Struthio camelus: one gene and its partner. The protein of the gene in region 1 interacts with the protein of each later gene in a biochemical or structural test. Links are inferred from orthologs where the notes say so. Each region holds a gene or a part of one and is shown on either strand. Other genes may lie near its edges.

Region 1 (10,168 bases):
ACATATGAGCCGTGTTGTAGTTACTTCAAGGAATTTAGCTCGAGTACTCCACTGTATGGAAAAGGAATAGAAAGGGGTAACTACATTCTTTTAAACAGATAGCATAAAAGAGCAAGCTATCACAAAACAAAACACTCAGCTGCTAAGAAGGATAGCAACAAAGCCATGCTAGGCTTAACCTAATAAAACCACCTATCCAAAAGGGTAAGATTAACAGATTAACCAACTCAAGCCATGTCTTTTGCTTCGCAGAAAAGTTAAGTGGGTTTCTAAGCTAGACTCTTCTTTAGGTCCGCAATGAAGTAACAGTAGACACTGGGTTGTACACAACTGTCTTGAAAGCTGCTTCCAAAAGCTTCTGGCTATCTCCCTCCATTTGGCTGAGCTGAACTTCAGCATCTTCTCATCCTGTTCCTAACCTATACAAATCTTTAGCTGTAGAAAGCAGCACCCAGTTGCCTTTTGGCTTGTGCCTAGTCAGATTAGAGATCATCTGCCCAATTTTAATAAAAGGTGAACCTGGGGCTTGCAAAATCTGCCTGGAGAGAATCCTTATAGTTAACTACAACTCAGCTGTGAAGCAACAGACCAACAGCCGGGTAACAGGAAGCCATAAAAACAGTCACTTGAACTAACCTCGTATCCACTCAGCTTTACCGCTGTCAGTACGCTCCACTAATGTAACACCCAGCATTTTCAGATGAACACCACAAGGGCATAATTTACCTAGGACAGATGCAGGATAATGCTAAGCTTGTGTTGGTAGTTTATTGCTCACCTTTAAAAGCCTACTCTCGTTTGATTCAAAAGCAAGGTTGTGCTCCAGGCACCAGCAGCTCCCGTCCAACAGCTGTATCGATTCCAGTCAACCTTTTCACAACTTCTGTGAATAAACATTTCACCAAAACCTCACGTATAAGAAACCAATACTTTTTCTTCAACCAAGAAGAGAGTTCAGGTGCTACCAGGAAACACGGAACGGACCAAACTCATCCTAGGTTATGGCTCCACTGAAAATCACTGGTATTTCCCAGCTGAGTTTGGTATGGTCTGTTTTTCACACAGCTACATATTGACTGAAATTACCCATTCCCCAAAAGGCCATGTGAATCAAGTGGCAAAACCTGCAGAAGAAAATTAAAATCATAAGGTGTAGAGGTGGAAAGAGGTGGGGAACCCCACTTCACAGCTAACTTATCACATAAATGTGTTTTCAGTCATGCAAACCCTCTACTCCATTAGAAAAAGAACATGTTAGCAAAAATATTTCCATCCCTTTCCCAGTCCCAATTTTTGGGCCGAGCCAATGCAAGAATCCTGATTTCTTCCTTCTAATCTTGTATCTTTTTCCTTTGTTGCCACCAAGGCTTCTTACAGGGCCTCTTAAAAAACGACGTTCAGCTATAATACTCTGGGCCTCTAAATAAAAAGAGAGAATGACAACTGGAAAAACCAGTTTTTCCAACTAAGAATACATCCATTTATCTGTATCCAGCCAGAGAATTCTGTCACCCTGTCTGTCAGATCCCCTCAACTCCAAGACTGTCATTTCAGAGAGTAAATCCTAAGCAAATGCAGAAATGAAAGCCACTGGTTTTCCTAGGTGTTGAGGGCTTTTCAGTTGCATAATTTGCATTTATGACTTCAACTTTCTTAGAGGGATAAAGTTTACTGGTTTTTGTCTTAAAGCTTATGCGGTGGGCCAGTCGTGCTCCATTTTAGCATCAGCATACCACAGAAACACATTGACTATAAGGAACAAGCAGAGGCAACAGCGAATGCTTGTGTATCTGGTGTCTTCCAGGGGCTGGGAAACATAAGTTCAAAGTTCGGCTAGGAAAAGAAAAACAAAAAAGATTAAAACATACAACAGATGAAGATGAACTATGGTCACAAGGGAGCGAAGCGAGAGCGCCTGCATTGTTGTGACACTAAACATTTGGCAGTGCTTTGTGTTTACCGCGCAGGAGACACTGGAAGCCCTTGACCGCGGTAAAGGAGTCATAAGAGCAATCCTTGTGCTTGTAAATGGAAAGGAGAGTTTATATTTGAGGCTCAGGCTTATTTCCGTTAACTTAACGGTGAAAGCCCCTCAGAATTCAGTGGCAGAAGCACAAGGTTCTTTAAACGTTTCCTTGTTCTCAAGTTGCATTGTTCCTCCTGAAGCAACGCAGCGCAGGTCATCCCTTCCAAAGGACTGACAAAGCACTTTTCAGAAATCTGTCGTGCAAGCTAACTGAGACCAGAAATTATAAAATTCACATACAATCATGAGCTCAAGAAGGTCTCTCCATTCTTCCTACTGTCCGTAACAGGTCATCCACCCACATCGACCACTGTTAATTGGTGTTAATACTGAGTTGTGAGGCCTGACTCTACAGCTCCTGTTACAGTTTGGGGAGAGCCCCGGCTGGTGCTAGGGTAATACCACAAACATAGAAGAGCCCCAAGAGGAGATTGAGTTTGGCTGTCCGCTGAGGAATTTTGTTGAAGCTCTGACTCCGAAACTGCCTCTCCAGTGAAAATGCCATTGGGATGGTGAGAAGAGGCAAGGCCATGCTGATGGTGTAGCGTGTGGCCAACACACAGAAAATCAGGTAGGGCAAGAAGAGCAGCACGGTGTAGAGAATGTAGGAGAAGGCAGGGCCGATGAGGATAGCCAGGGTGACAATACCCGCCTGTTGGTCAGACTCCATGTCTCGCGTGTTGTTGCTGTGCAGGATGGCCTCGGTACTGAGAGCTAGTGGGATAGCGTAGAGCAGCGGTGAGACAGACAGATAACCAACCTGCACAGCATGGGCAAACATGACAGCCAGGGGCCCAAAGGTGATCAGGATCACCACGTCTCCAAGTGCAACATATTTAAATCCAATTCCTGTGGCAAGACACAAGAATAAAATGAAGTGTCATCAAACGACTCAAACTACAGAGGAGAATGGATTTTTTTTATAACAGATCAGCTGTTCCCACAGAAGCATTGTAAAAAAACAACAGGTACATACCTAAAGCTGACAAACGTTCTCTCTTTTTTTCTTTTCTAAAGGTAATAAAAGAAAAGCAGCTTCTGAATTTCTCCAGCCAAACCACTCGACAAAATTAAGGGCCGGGTTCTAATACCCTTCTTCACACCAAGAAATACCCTATTTCCACAGAAATCAATAGAAATAAGGCACTCTCTACAGTGATCAGACATACTAGATCTGACCCTGAAGAAACAGATAAAACGCTCAGAACAAAACACAAAACTGACAAGGCTCTTTCAAGTAAACTCATGCGACAGTTAAAAGTTTGCTCCTGTTTTCCTAAGCAAAATATTTTATGTTTGTATTTACCCAACCCAGGAAGACATCAAAACATCCTCTTCTATGCAAAAAAAAATTCTCTCCTTAGTAAAAACAAATACAAAAACTATTCTACAGTCCCAGTGAAACTCCTTCTGAAGAATAACAACATATTCCAACACAATGCATAATGTAATTCTACCCATAAAAAAGAATATATGCAGTGAGCTATACAGTCAAGGGACACCAGATACACATCATCCAACGTTTCAGCAAGTTTTGAAAAGCACCTAAAGTCATATATGCAATAATGTCTCAATAGCACTTGCCAGCTGAAGAACTGAGTGCATCTACTCCTATGCCTTCCCAAAACAACCAGTGACAAAGAATACCAGTCTAAGTATCAGTACTCTAGGAAGTGTCACCAAATAGCTGTACAATAGTTAACCAGATCACTTGGAGCTTCCAGAAGCCCTTAGATAAGTCAGTAAACTCTCCCACGTCCGCATCAGAATCACAGGGAATGGGATATAACGCTTACCTCCAGTATAAAGGAAGGAGCTGGAAAGTCCCCCGAAGTAAATCAAGGCCAGGTGCTCCAGCTTGAGTGTAGAGACACAGTAGAGCCCAGCAGCACAGATACAGCCCACAGTGTAAAGGAAGACTCCAAACCGGACTACATCCTGAGGTTCTAAAATCTGGTCCACCAAAGTCCTGTCATCACTCTTCTTGTGATCAATGCCTTTGGAGAAGTCATAGTAAGTATTCACCAGGTTGCCTGCTCCATGCACAGCGAGGACAGTCACAGCGCTTCCCACCAGTAGCCCTGGATCTAGTGCTCCTTGGGCCCGGTACGCCAGGGCGCTGCCGAGCGCCACCGGGGTGAGGGAGGCACTGAAGCTCCAAGGCCTGAGGGCCAGCACGTAGGCTGCACATTTCTGCCTCCAGGAGCCGGGGGGGCCCCTCTCCGGCACAGCCAGCCCGGAGACGAAGTCGCTCCTCTCGCCGCCCCGGGGGCTCTCTGCGCCAATGCTGATCTTCTGCATCAGCTCTCCCGACCCCATGCTCTGCCCGCGGTCCCGGCCACACCGCCTCACAGCAGCAGCACCTGGGAAGGAGAAGGGCCGCGCGTCAGCCTCGCCGCCCGGCCCCGGGGCCCCAACGGCCGCGGGCCCCGCGGAGCAGCGCCACGGCCGCCGCCATGCCGGGCGGGCAGCGCCTGAGGGGCCGCGCGCGCCGCCCTCACCCGCTCTGACAGGGCGCTGCGCGCGCGCCTCAACGGCCGCCGCCGCCGCGCGCCCCAACCGCCGCCGCCGCGCGCGCCCCAACCGCCGCCGCCGCCCCGCGCGCCTGCGCCACAACGGTCGCAACGGCCGCTGCCCCCTGAGCCCCCCCTCCTCCCCTTCCCCGCCGCAGCGGCGCCGCGCTGAGGGTTCCGCCGCAGCGCCGGGCTGGGGAGGAGACGGGGGGAGGCCCACGCAGCTCCTTAACGGCCCGTAAGTACTTCCCGCCCCGGTGTAAACGTTAAACGCCCCGCGTTGTTACGCACGGCTGCTAGTGGTCACTTCGAAGCACATGGGACGACAAACACGCCGGCGCTGCTACACGGTGCCATTACGGTAACGGAGCACGGCTCCGCCGCCGCCGCCGCCGCCGCCTTCCCCCCGCCCCGCTGCCCTTGGCGCTGTCATGCGAAGCCGGACACATTTCAGTGCCGCACACCGGGCGCAGCCCCGCTCCCCTCCCTCCGCATGCGCAGAAAGCGCACACGCTTTACGGAGGGGCGGAAGCCGGTGGGAGTCCGGAGGGCAGGCCTAGCCCGACTTTTCACCAATCGAGCATTCCTGGCCCTCCCATTGGTCACTCCGTACTGTCAGTTACTCCCAGCTGGCTTGATGATTGGTCGAGCCGCCACAGTCGCTCCTAGCGGTTCTCGGGAGAAGGGGCGGGGCCGGGAGGGCGCCTTCCCTTCTCTTTTTCTACTGGCCGAAAGCCGTGCCCGTCAAAGTCTTTCGGCGCGCCTATTGGCGGGCGGCGGCTGGCCGGCCCGGCAGGCGCGGGGGGAGGGGAGGGCGCAGGGGCCCGGAGCGGGGGAGCCGGTGGCGGTTGGGGCGGAGGCGGTGAGTGCGGCTCCCGGAGCCTCCCCGTCCCTCCGGCGGGAATAACCCCCCCCCCTTTCCCCCACCTCGCCGCTCACCGGGCCGGCGCCTCGCGCCCCGTCAGCGGCACCGGCCTCCAGGCCGGCCGCGGCCTCGCCGGCGGGAGACCCCGGCCTGGCCCGCCCCACCCCACCCCACCTCACCTCACCGGCATCCCGGCGGCGGGGCCCCGGCGCCGCCTCGCGGCGCTCCCGCTGCCGCCTCACGGCGCTCCCGCCGCCCGGCTCAGCCCTGGCGGCGGCCTGAGGGGGCCGGGGCCGCCCCGCCGTTTCTGTGACCTCGGTGGGGCTCTGCGGCGGTGCGCGGGGTAGAAGGCGCTCAGGTGTCGCTCCCCGGCCCTGCTGGGTGCAAGCGCGCAGCTTGGGTTTATACAGCCTGAGGATCCAGGGGGGTTCAGGACTTCAGGGGAAAGACAACTTTCCCCAAGGAGAAGTGCTCGTAAGAAAGTTTGGTTGTGCGTTGCGATAGTAAACATCCTGTTGCAGTGATTGCCGTTGCTGACAGTAGACTTCCCCCTTATAAATACGTGCTGGAGGATGTAACGCTTACCAGGCCCAGGGTGCTGAGTCTTGGTTGTGTAGCTAGACCAGCGAGGCTTTTGGGGAGGTCCTTGGGCGAAGGTGTTCATGGAGGAGTCAAATACGGCAGCGACACAATGACAGAGCTACTTATTTTGCCTACTTTTTATAGAGTGATTCTAGAGCTTGGTTCTACCCTAGTATCTTTTCAGCTGTCGCATGCCCTTTAACTTAGGGTTAGATCCCCATAGGATTAGGAATCTGACCTATTGGAGGTATGTTTGGGGAACTAGGGAACGAGGGAGCTGGGTCATGACGTTATGTGATGATGTGGTTTTATCACAGTGTTGTAGGGCCTAGGGAAACTAGTCGTTAGTTATATTTTTTACACTCTTTCAGAACAACTTCCTTTCAAGCTTTGGGATGTGTATTTTGGAGACAGTCAGTAGGGGCAGTGTCAAGGAAGAACTTCAGATGTATGCAATAGCTGAAAGCATTAAAAAGATTTTTCTCTGAAGTACTTACAGGACTTGATGCGCCGAGCCCCAGCACACCGCCATCATGTCAGGCACTGTGTCCATTCTCCAGCAATTTGCCAATGGCTTGAAGAGTCGCAGCGAAGAGACAAGGGCAAAAGCTGCCAAGGACTTGCAACACTATGTCACCATGGAGCTCCGCGAAGTGAGTCCTGCAAATGAGAACGTTTATCACATGGGTGTAATGCATTGGCTGGGTACTTTGGGGGTGGAGATTTTGGAATATGGAAACTGTCTTAGAGAGGAGGTCCAGCAAAGACTGGAGCTTACCTTTGCCCTGGCATGTGGGCAGGGTGCCTGAGTTGGGGACTCCGGTGATGGCCAAGCACTAGAATAAATACAACCTGATAGGTCTAGGGCACAAAGAAGAGCTATACCATTTTGTGTTTGTAATGTATGGTTAACTTAATTTCTTTGTGTTTAAGGGACCTGGAAAGCGTTGTCTTTTTGGGGGTGTCTGTGGTCGTGGAGAATGATGAAAGTTGATTTGAACTTTTTCATTTTGCAGATGAGTCAAGAAGAATCTACCAAATTTTATGATCAGCTGAACCATCACATATTTGAGCTGGTCTCTAGCTCTGATGCAAATGAAAGGAAGGGTGGCATTCTGGCTATAGGTGAGTGAAAGTGCTTAATGCCTTTGGTGAGTTTTCTCTTCACGCAACTACTCTTTAGGGACAGCTTTTCAAAAGGAATGAACTTTTTTGATCGTGGCCTTATGTTTGACCGCTTAGTACGCTGGGTGCGTGCTAGTCACTGGGTTCTCTTGAAAATCTGTCCAAGAGCGTCAGCATGGGAGCTGCTGAGTGCTGAGAGTGGCTGAAAACCTGGTGCTCCGTGGGCGCTGAGCTCTTCTGGGAGCTGAGCATCGAATATGAGCGCCGAGCGCTTGAAAATTCTGATCTTGAGCTCGTCTGAAAACAGAGTTTGTGCTGTCCGCTTATGTGTGTCATGGTGGGCTGACTTTCCGAGCTCCGTTCTGCCTGAGGACATTGATTCCTGTTATTTAAATTCACTTGGCTCAATGACAGCAGCTTCCATCCCTGGGAGGGGCTCACGTAGCTTTTGCTTTTATTCTCATCAGCTGCTCTATCAGTTGCTCTGGTTGTGCTTTCACTGTGATATGGCAGAACTGCCTGCATTGCGACTCCTAGGGAAATCAGCTTGTGTAGCCCGTATTGTAGCATTTGCTTTTTTTAATAGCCAAATAGGAGTTGCCTATGGGTTAGGCTCGCAGACGTAATCGTCCGACCCCAACATATTTGAAGACAGCGGAAGTCCCTTAGCTAGAGAAATCTTTGTTGACAACATCTGATTTTAAGCTGACAGTATCACTTTAAAATTGTTTCTGTGAATTTAGTGCTGTTGAAAGGTGCCGGCTTGACAACCCTGGACACTGACGGCCTCTTTATCTACAGAGCAGGTACAACCCAGGCATCGGCAGTGCAAGCTTCTGCCACACTGCCCCCTGCCAACGTGCCTCCACCCTGGCCTGGAGAGACCGTCTCTAGGGGCGAGGGGGAGAGCGCTTTCCTTGGTCCATTCAGTCTTTGACCTCTCTACTGAGACGGACCAGCTGTAGTAGTTGCATGTGGATGCCTTTCTATTGGGAATGGGTCTGTGATCCCAGGGTGGATGTATTTTTTCTTTTTAAACTAAAAATGGGGAAAATCTATGAAGCTACTGATGCATTTTCCTGTCCACTTAACAAGTTCAGGCTCGGAAGAATGGTGACCCTTTCCTATTGCTTGATTTTTTTTCTGTGGATTTGCAGTTTAGGAAGAGTTAATGGGAATCTTTAAGGAATGGACAGGGAATACTAACTCTCATCCAGGGATTACCTACTGTCTGCCTCACTGACTCTTAGGTGCAACCTATAGCCCTGCTTCCTTTCTCCACAGCAAGTCTCATCGGTGTTGAAGGAGGTAACGCCACCCGTATTGGCAGGTTCGCCAACTACCTGCGGAACCTCTTGCCGTCCAATGACCCTGTTGTCATGGAGATGGCCTCCAAGGCTATTGGGAGGCTCGCGATGGCCGGTGACACCTTCACCGCCGAGTACGTGGAGTTTGAGGTGAAACGAGCTCTGGAGTGGCTGGGAGCTGACAGGAATGAAGGTCGAAGACATGCAGCTGTAAGTGGTCCTTTTTATTTTGTCCTGGAAGGGGGGGGTTAGGCTTGAGTAACAGTGGTAGATGTGCCCAGAAAGCTGGGGAAGAGCTCTAGTTGAGAAGCAATGGCTGCCAGTCCATGCCTGAGGATGTGTGACGCTCCCATAGCAGATATATTGATTCTTCATCGTTTCTACCATAGTAATGCTCGGTGACTAAACAAGATTGAGACACCATTGTGCTACATACTATAAAAGGAGCTGGAAACAGCTCTGGTTCTCAGATATTAGCACTCTAAGTAAGTGATGCTATGGACTAGGAATTATGATGCCTGTCTGGAGGTGCTCATCCTCACAGACTACTGTTGTTCCTTTTCCCGTCTCCAGGTTCTTGTCCTGCGTGAGCTGGCAATCAGCGTGCCTACCTTCTTCTTCCAACAAGTGCAGCCGTTCTTTGACAATATTTTTGTGGCTGTGTGGGATCCCAAACAGGCCATCCGAGAGGGAGCTGTTTCTGCCTTAAGAGCCTGCCTTATCCTCACTACTCAGCGTGAGCCTAAAGAGATGCAGAAGCCCCAGTGGTACAGAGTAAGAAAATAATTTAGTTTTGAAACAGCTGCTTTATAGTGCAATGCAGATGATCAAGCGCCAGTACCAGAAGAGCTGTCCAAGCTAAGAAACTGCTTCGCTTTTGTCAGCATGTCTCTGCTTTGTTCGTAGAAAACCGCCTCCCCTCGATCAGGATTGAAAACATGGTGGCGTCCAATCAAAGTAGTTCCTTAAGACCACTATAAAAGCAAGCAAGAGCCTTAATTCCATCAGGAATCTATTGCACCGTCTCTAACTCACTTTCAGCTGTTGAGCCTGATTGCGTTTTGCAGCCAAACAGTTTTCTATCTAGTGCCATCTTTTACTAGTAGATGGTTTTATTAGTGTAGATGAAACATACAGAGAAATAAATAAGGATTCTTTTGTCTGAACCTTAGCTTGCTGCCATGTCACAGGAATTCAAGCTCCTTAATATTAAATAAGGTTTGGAAGTGCAGTGAAACGTTGTCAACTTGGATTTCTCACTGTCAAGTATGTGATGTAGCTATTGACAGAGTTTGTACCTTGGGATGGCTGACTGGCTTTTTGATCAGGGCTGTTGAAAGCACTCTGCAGCAGAGCGAAACTCAGGTTCTTGGTGTTATGCTCTGCTATTAACTCAGTTGAGGTTTGTGGCTACTCTTGAAAATTACAGCCTGTCAGTAACTCTTGACTGGCTGTGCTACTTACTCTGTTTCCACAGGCTTTGCTTCTATTATAACGATTGTGATCTTTATTTTCCCCCTTCCGCTCCCAGCATACGTATGAAGAGGCTGAGAAGGGTTTTGATGAGACTTTGGCCAAGGAGAAAGGGATGAACCGTGATGACCGAATCCATGGTGCCTTACTGATCCTCAATGAGCTGGTGAGGATCAGCAGTATGGAGGGAGAGGTAAGCAAAACAGGATGGTGGTTTTGGCTGCTGGCTGCCAGATTAATTTGTCAGTGTGTAGTACCTCAGTGATCTGTGGAAATA
Region 2 (7,255 bases), on another chromosome or scaffold:
GTGCAAAAGTCAGGAAACACCTTTCCCGAGCAGGGAAAACAGGGCTGCAGGCTTTATGTTGCCATGACAACTCCCATCCAGATGGGCACCTGCACCTCCCTGGCGGATCTGATCACACACGCTGCCGTTATCCCTGCACCTACGCCCTGTCAGCTCCGCTACGTGACTAAGAACAAGCTGATCCGCAGCCTTCCCTGCACCCGCCGCATGCTAGGGGGTCGTGCCCACACCATTTACACCAGTCGCCGCTCATTTCTTCGTAAACGCTGATGTGGTACGTTCTGCCAGGGAGTTTCCAAGTTCCCCTTCTTAGTTCTGAAGGTCACTGGCCTTTTTTAGCCAGATTGTTTTCCCTTGAAGCAGTGGGCTGGAGAGCAGTGCATGGCACTGGTTCCACTGTGGCTGGGAGCAACACAAACACTCCTGCCAAGCACTGCAAGCTGTCTCCTGGAGCAGGACTCAGGCGATTGCAGCTTTGGCTCGGGAAGCTGCTCTTTCATGTGGTCTCTCAGGGCCTCCACCCAAATCTAGGATCAACAGTGGAACTGGCTAACAGGAGGAGAGAGGGTGGAGAGAGATTTGGCTCTCGGTCCTCACAGCTGCCTGGCAGGCCCCCAGCCCACGGGGAGAAACGCAGGCTTCAACTACTATTTCCACGCAGGGCAGCGTCGCCCCAGGGGTATGGAGCGTCTCTCTCAGGCTTGCTCTAGGGGCTGACGGAGCTGCCTGCTGGATTTTAAGGGGGAACGCTGTCTTCCTCCAGAGCCCAGCACGGAGCCTATGCTCCCTCCCCGCCTCAGGGCCTCTTGCACAACCCTGGGACTGTAACGGGAGAATTTGTAAACAAGCAGGGAAGCACATGCCAGGGCTCTCTGGAAACAGTGTCCCCTTACAGGCCTCCCAGAGAAGAGATATCCACACCCTAGTTCTGGGCACCAGGACCGAGTCAGAGGAGAGACTCCCGGCCCTTCAGTTTCAGATCTGCATGCGTGAAGGGGACGCTGTGTGTCTGCGAAACCATGATGGACGTTGAGTCAGGGCCAGAGGGACGCAGACAGCGCCACCAAGCCTGGGCTGAGTCCTGGGCCCTAGACAGGAGGGAGCAGCAACGAAGTAGCAGGGTGGGAGACCCACGCACACGCTGAGAGCCACCCACCGCCCCCTGCAATGTCTCACTGGCACCACCACGCTGTCTGCTCTAAGCAAAGGATTGCAGGGTGCTGGATGTTCTTACCCTGACGCTGCCCGAAGCGATTAAAACCCAGGTGATGTCCAAGCCAAATTGACACCTAAAGTAAACACCACATCTGAGAGGCAGCTTCAGCATTCGCCGCAACCCCAGCCTATTAAATAGAACAGCCTCAGCTAAACTGCTGGCAAACAGCCCCACATACCGTATCTGGGGAAGAAGCGGCAAGCAAGTGTCTCTGCTCAGACGCTCCCATAAGCATACACAGCTTAGCAGAACCCTAGACAGCATCAAATACTGGCTGTCATAGTGATTAACATCCCTCCAAATGGGAAAGAATCCCACACACAAAGCTGAACAGCCCAAGTCAGGCCACAAAGCAAGCTCCCACTATCCTGAAACCTTTTTTTGTGTGCAAGTCTCCAGTTACTTTCAGCTTATTAAGGTACCAACATTTAGCCTGTCAGTCCTCTGGTATAGGAGAGTCTTCCATGCCAGGGAAGATCAGGGCTTTCTGCAGCAGTCCCCACGTTGGCCCTACCTTTTCCTCTCAAACAGCTGTAGGTGAAACGAGAGAGCAACGAGTTCAGGAAGAGCCTTGGGAAAATGAAAGAGGGGAAGCAGTCATAACAGGGAATTAAAGGCCAACCCACAAGATACAAGGCAAGGACCTCAGGCAAAAAACGGAACTTGGGCCACAGGATCCTCACCTGTGAGGACCGCTTCTTCCCTCCTGCAAGTCCCTCGTATAGCGGCACGCGTGCCAGCGCTCTGGAACAGGTCTCTCTACTTGATTCAAAAGGTATGAGGCACACTTGAGTGCTCATAATAAAACGATAATCCAGACTAGTCACGTTGCTCAAGCAATAGATGCTCCTTTGAAATTCTGATCCTACAGGCGCCTCGGGACATGAAAACCTGTCCCCCGCCCACCATGCTCTACAGAGAGACACCTAAAATCAGAGCCAACAAGGGCTGCACAAAAATCTGACGGTGCACTCTGCTCGTAACGTTATACGAGGCTGCTATCACCAGACTAAGAACACGGGCACTGTAAAAGTCAAAGCTAGCAGCGGTTTCCCACAGCTTGCTCCAGTGCACGTCGGAGGGACGGGGTGCTCAAGCTGCAGAGAACTGCTCGGAGGGAGAAGACAGGACGAGGTGCCAGCTGTCTTCGGATCATACCAGAAGACTTGCCAGTGACCAAAATTAGAACAACTAACGTGAGCCCTAAATGAGCAAAAGCCAAGCCTGCTTCTAACACTGGAAGACAACAGACAACGGGAATCTTATGGGATATGGACTTTTTTGCCTTCAGCTAAACACGCAAGTGTGAAGAGACCCATACCCAGCTCCCAAGTGCTATTTTGGAAGAGCTGTACAGCATAGGACTTCTGCAGCAAGCATCTAAAGAGGTGATGGAAAGGATTTTCAAGACATGTTGATTTAGTTCCTCTCAGAAGGCTACAGAGAGATTTTGCATCAATGCAGAGACAGAAGCGTCAATAGCTAGACAGTAAGTTTAACGGATTATGTCTCAGCCCTGGCTGTTTAGGTACAGTGTTTATCAGTCTATACCAGGCCATTTGGATCCGGCTAGGGAGTTGTATGTGCTGGGACTTTGAGAAATACTGATCTCTCCAGCCTCTGCCTACGTGTTACTCTTTCATCTCAAGAAGTGCAACAAAGTTCAGAGAAATACAAAAGAACTCGGCGTTCAACAAGGCAGAAATGGGCTGCCTCTACAGGAAACGTGCATTTCCTCCATAAGTGGTAGCCGCTCAGCCCTGCAGAGTGCAGGAGGCAGGACACAGGTCGAGGAGAGGAAGAGGTGACAGGCTCAGCGTTCATGCAGCCAAGACGCTGTACTTCATCCTTTCCCCCATTTTCCAGAGCCAAAGGCCAAGCCTGAAGGGCCTGCTTTAGCGTTTGACAGGACGAGTTGCTATAAACATATGGTGGTGACAGAGAGGCAATGAAGCAGCAGCCAGGAGCTCTCCTCTCTAAAGTGTTCAGTAATAACCTGTTTGTTACTACATTACAAACACTTGCAGAGAGGGAAACCAAAGCTTTGAGCCTGGAACTGTTGCTGCTCAATCAACAATACAACAATTGCCACCAAAACAGTAGGTTTTACTGCGGACAGCCAGGTTGATGCAGGTGCTCCCCTCCGTACCCTGGGCAGTCTCAGGAAGCCAGCAGTATAAAAGCACTGGAAGCCATATTTTTTGAACAATCTTCTGTTTCAAAGCAAAGCTTGATAAATCTGCCTCTACGGACAGGTGAGAGCCTGAAGAGAAACAACTAGTCTGGCACTTCCTGAAGAACCTGACCTCAAGAAGTTAAGGCTAGCGTTCAGCATAGAGCTATTCAACGTTGGCGCAACTGGCTAGCAACAGTCCTGCAGCACAGAGAAGTCCTCGGTTGGAAAGAACTATTACGGTGGCTGCTAGGGCCCTGACCACTGAGGTGTGGACAGGGCAACGTTACATCTTAGCAATACCACTGACTGAAAAGCTCCTTGGAGTCGCCATCAATGAAACGTTGCATTATAAAAGCCGTATCCGTTCCTCTCTACCGCTACGGCGCCACCGGAGCAGCGCTGCCAAGGAGCGGCAGAGGCATGCCGCTACTCCCTCGCTGAGGGAATGCAGGGCACGGTGTCTCCAAGGATCAGCAGTCAATGGGTGACACCGCAACAGGAAGAGTAAAACTAGGTATTCAACCACATTTTTACGTGGTGCAGAATGAACGCGACACCCACCCGTATCGAGAGAGACATCTTTTCCTGCTCCGAGCAGAGGGAGGGAGCAGCAGAGCCTGCAGCAGGCAGGGTGGGCGAAGGCACAGGCTCTCCGCCAAAAGGTTTGCGGTTGCAATATCTAGACAGTTCAACACATGACATGCGATGCTTGATCTTAACGGTGGTGCTGAAACAACGCTTCAGTCTCCTCCTTTGCCCGAACCATGTCCCAGTAAGGGAACAAAAGCAAAACTGACACTTCAGCTGAAGTGCTCTGCTAAGCCAGCCACAAGATAAGCATATTTAAGGTGGATTCAGTTCAGAGCGCTGTAATCTCATTCCTGCAGTACATATGGCACGTTGGATAGCAGACAACACGGAAGGTTGCATTAGTTTGTATTATAAACGGAGCAAGGGACACACTAGCACCCTACTGCTAACATGGTTTCGCACACCACAAAAGTTACTGAAGGAGGAGAGGGGAGGAGAGAGGACATCCAGAAAGTTGGACAGATCTAATTTTAAACCAGGGTTAATGGAAAACACAGAGGCATAATCTACAGGGTTTCAGATATCACGGGGCTCACAATGCGTTCCAGTGCCACCAAGGACTACAAGACAGAATCCAGAGAAATTCAGTCCATTTAAAAACTGGGGAAAACAAAACCCTAGTCTAGTTCAGGCAATAAGCAGCCTGAAGTGCTAAAACTCGGGAGGGGAGAAAACAAATGAATAAGTGAATTCACTTAAGAGAAGTGAACTCAACCAAGCTATTAGCTGCGCCCAGCTGTGCTCTCAGACAGGCAATTCTTAGCCGCCTGCCCCGGAAAGCGTTCCTCTTCCACGGGCGCTATCGGGACGCCTGCAGCTCCGCGCAGCTGTGGCTCCCCACGGCGCTTTCCGCCGCCGAGCTCCTGGGCGGACTCTCCAGGGAGAAACGGGGCGCGGACGCCCCTGGCCGCAGGCGGCAAGCGGCGGGTGAGGGCGGACAGCTCGGCGCGGCGCGGCCCTCCACCTCGCAGCTGTCGCACCTTCCTTCCCTAAACGCGGCCTCCACAGGCCGCGTTTAAGGGAGGGCCCCGCGCCCCGCAGCGCTACTCCGCCGGCGTAACGGCACTCCGGCAGCGGTGCGGGCCCAAGGCGGCCCGGGCCGCGCCCGGGGCTCGGAGGTAACGAAAACGGGGTAAAGGCGGCGCGGCGGCTCCAGCCGCCACCACCCCCTCCCCACCGCCCGACCGGGGCCTCCAGCTTCCCGGCATGCCGCGCGCGCACCGCCTCCCAGCATCCTCCGCGCCGCGGGCGGCCGAGGCCGCGGCCCTCAGGCGAGGACTACAACTCCCAGCTTGCCTTGCGCCGCGGCGCTGCCGCCGGCCCCGGCGCGCGGCCGCGGGGCGTGCCGGGAGTTGTAGTCCGCGGGGTACTCCCGAGGGGGGGGAGCGGGGGAGGGGAGAAGCAGCGGAAACCGACCTACTAGTGTCTCCTGCACTCGGTCCCGGCGGGGCTCTTCACGGTGACGGCTCCTTCAGTCCCGGGGCGTTTGTAAAGGAAAGCTTCTCCGGGGAAAGCTCGAGGAGGGCGCGTGTGCCTCGGCCGCCGTCCGCCGTCTCACACCGGCCCACCGGGCCTCCGCCCACCTCGACATGTCCCCGACTAATCGGGACGGAGCGAGCGGCTGGTCGAAACCTGGATTTCCCCGGGCGGGCGGACGGGCGAGCGAGCGACCGAGCGAGCGACCCTCTCCTCAGGCACCGGACGACAACAAGCGGCGAAGCCCCGCCCCGCCCGCGGCCCGGCCGTCCCGAGCGGCTGCTGACAGCTCCCCCCTCCCCCATTGGAGGACGGCCGTGGCGATCCCCGCGGGGCTCTCCTCCCATTGGCGAGCGCAGAAGTCAATCAGGAGCAGCGCGCCCGCCCTCCGAGGGGACTGAGCCTAGCCCCTCCCACTTGCCGGAACGCTCGGGGCCCTGATTGGCTGGCGGGGACAAAGACGCAGGGAGCGGCTGTCAATCACAGGAGCGGCGCGCGGCGCCCCCACCCGGCTCGGCGGGGGCAGCGCAGAGACCGGCCGCCCCGGGGCAGGGCCCGGTGCATGGGAAAGGTCCAGGCGCTGCAGGCCCGGCTCCTCCCGGTGCACCGCGAAGCCTGGTGGGTCGGGAAGCTCGGTGCACCGCGAAGGTTGGTGCATTGCGAAGCCCGGCTCCTCCTGGAGCACCGTGAAGGTCGGCGGTCGCAAAGCCCATCTCATCCTGGTGCAATGCAAAGATCAGTGGTTGCAATGCCCGTCTCGTCCTGGAGCACCATGAAGGTCGGCGGTCGCAAAGCCCATCTTGTCCTGGCGCACTGTGAAGGTTGGTGGACACAAAGCCCATCTCATCCTGGTGCACCACGGAGGTCAGTGGTCACAAAGCCCATCTCGTCCTGGTGCAATGCAAAGGTCAGTGGTTGCAATGCCCGTCTCGTCCTGGAGCACCATGAAGGTCGGCGGTCGCAAAGCCCATCTCATCCTGGCGCACTGTGAAGGTTGGTGGACACAAAGCCCATCTCATCCTGGTGCACCACAGAGGTCAGTGGTCACAAAGCCCATCTCGTCCTGGTGCAATGCAAAGGTCAGTGGTTGCAATGCCCGTCTCGTCCTGGAGCACCATGAAGGTCGGCGGTCGCAAAGCCCATCTCATCCTGGTGCAATGCAAAGATCAGTGGTTGCAATGCCCGTCTCGTCCTGGAGCACCATGAAGGTCGGCGGTCGCAAAGCCCATCTCATCCTGGCGCACTGTGAAGGTTGGTGGTCACAAAGCCCATCTTGTCCTGGTGCACCACGGAGGTCAGTGGTCACAAAGCCCATCTCGTCCTGGTGCACCACGGAGGTCAGTGGTCACAAAGCCCGGCTCCTCCGGGCCTGCTGGCTGTTCCCCTACAGAGGGGAGTGGGGCCACCCTAACGATTTGGGGAGAGAGCGGAAGGTGGCCACTCCAAGGGAACCTTCCTTGCCAGGGGGTCCCTGGCCAGGGGTGCACCATCCTGCACCCTCGCAGTGGTCACTGCGCCAGGCCCACCGCACCCCTGATCAGGCCGGCTCACTGCCTTGGCCGAGGCTGCGGGAGGAGCGGAGGAAACGGGGCTCTGCTGCTCCGCGATCGCTCCGCGGTGCAGGCACGGCTGGTGCCGCTTCCACACCTTGATCCCCTGCCGGCTGAGGCGCGGGCACTAACACGCTCCGCAGAGCGCTGCGCGGACCGGCCCGGGATGAAGGCTGGGGTCATTCCCCATTTCCCCTCCAAACGGGGGCTCTGTGTGGAGCAGACTGGTGGCCTCTGGCCACGTCC

The links.
Region 2: of the proteins of MTOR (region 1) and MAF1, one has a biochemical effect on the other in vitro, tested with the Homo sapiens proteins (2 studies listed by BioGRID and IntAct). The link is inferred for Struthio camelus from reciprocal best matches to the Homo sapiens genes MTOR and MAF1.

The regions. Positions count from the first base shown.
Region 1 is NC_090962.1:6,553,263-6,563,430, reverse strand, and holds the start of MTOR (serine/threonine-protein kinase mTOR), read left to right. Parts: upstream 1-4,757; 5' UTR 4,758-4,777; intron 4,778-4,830; coding exon of another isoform or gene 4,831-4,858; exon of another isoform or gene 4,859-5,047; intron 5,048-5,287; exon of another isoform or gene 5,288-5,401; intron 5,402-6,476; 5' UTR 6,477-6,519; coding exon 6,520-6,639; intron 6,640-7,002; coding exon 7,003-7,111; intron 7,112-7,854; coding exon 7,855-7,917; intron 7,918-8,395; coding exon 8,396-8,628; intron 8,629-8,991; coding exon 8,992-9,192; intron 9,193-9,949; coding exon 9,950-10,084; intron 10,085-10,168. Other genes in the region: UBIAD1 (ubiA prenyltransferase domain-containing protein 1), read right to left, coding at 2,388-2,875, 3,823-4,389, 4,831-4,858. UniProt on the Homo sapiens protein: Serine/threonine protein kinase which is a central regulator of cellular metabolism, growth and survival in response to hormones, growth factors, nutrients, energy and stress signals.
Region 2 is NC_090943.1:172,999,693-173,006,947, forward strand, and holds the start of MAF1 (repressor of RNA polymerase III transcription MAF1 homolog), read right to left. Parts: upstream 5,755-7,255; 5' UTR 5,400-5,754; intron 1-5,399. UniProt on the Homo sapiens protein: Plays a role in the repression of RNA polymerase III-mediated transcription in response to changing nutritional, environmental and cellular stress conditions to balance the production of highly abundant tRNAs, 5S rRNA, and other small non-coding RNAs with cell growth and maintenance.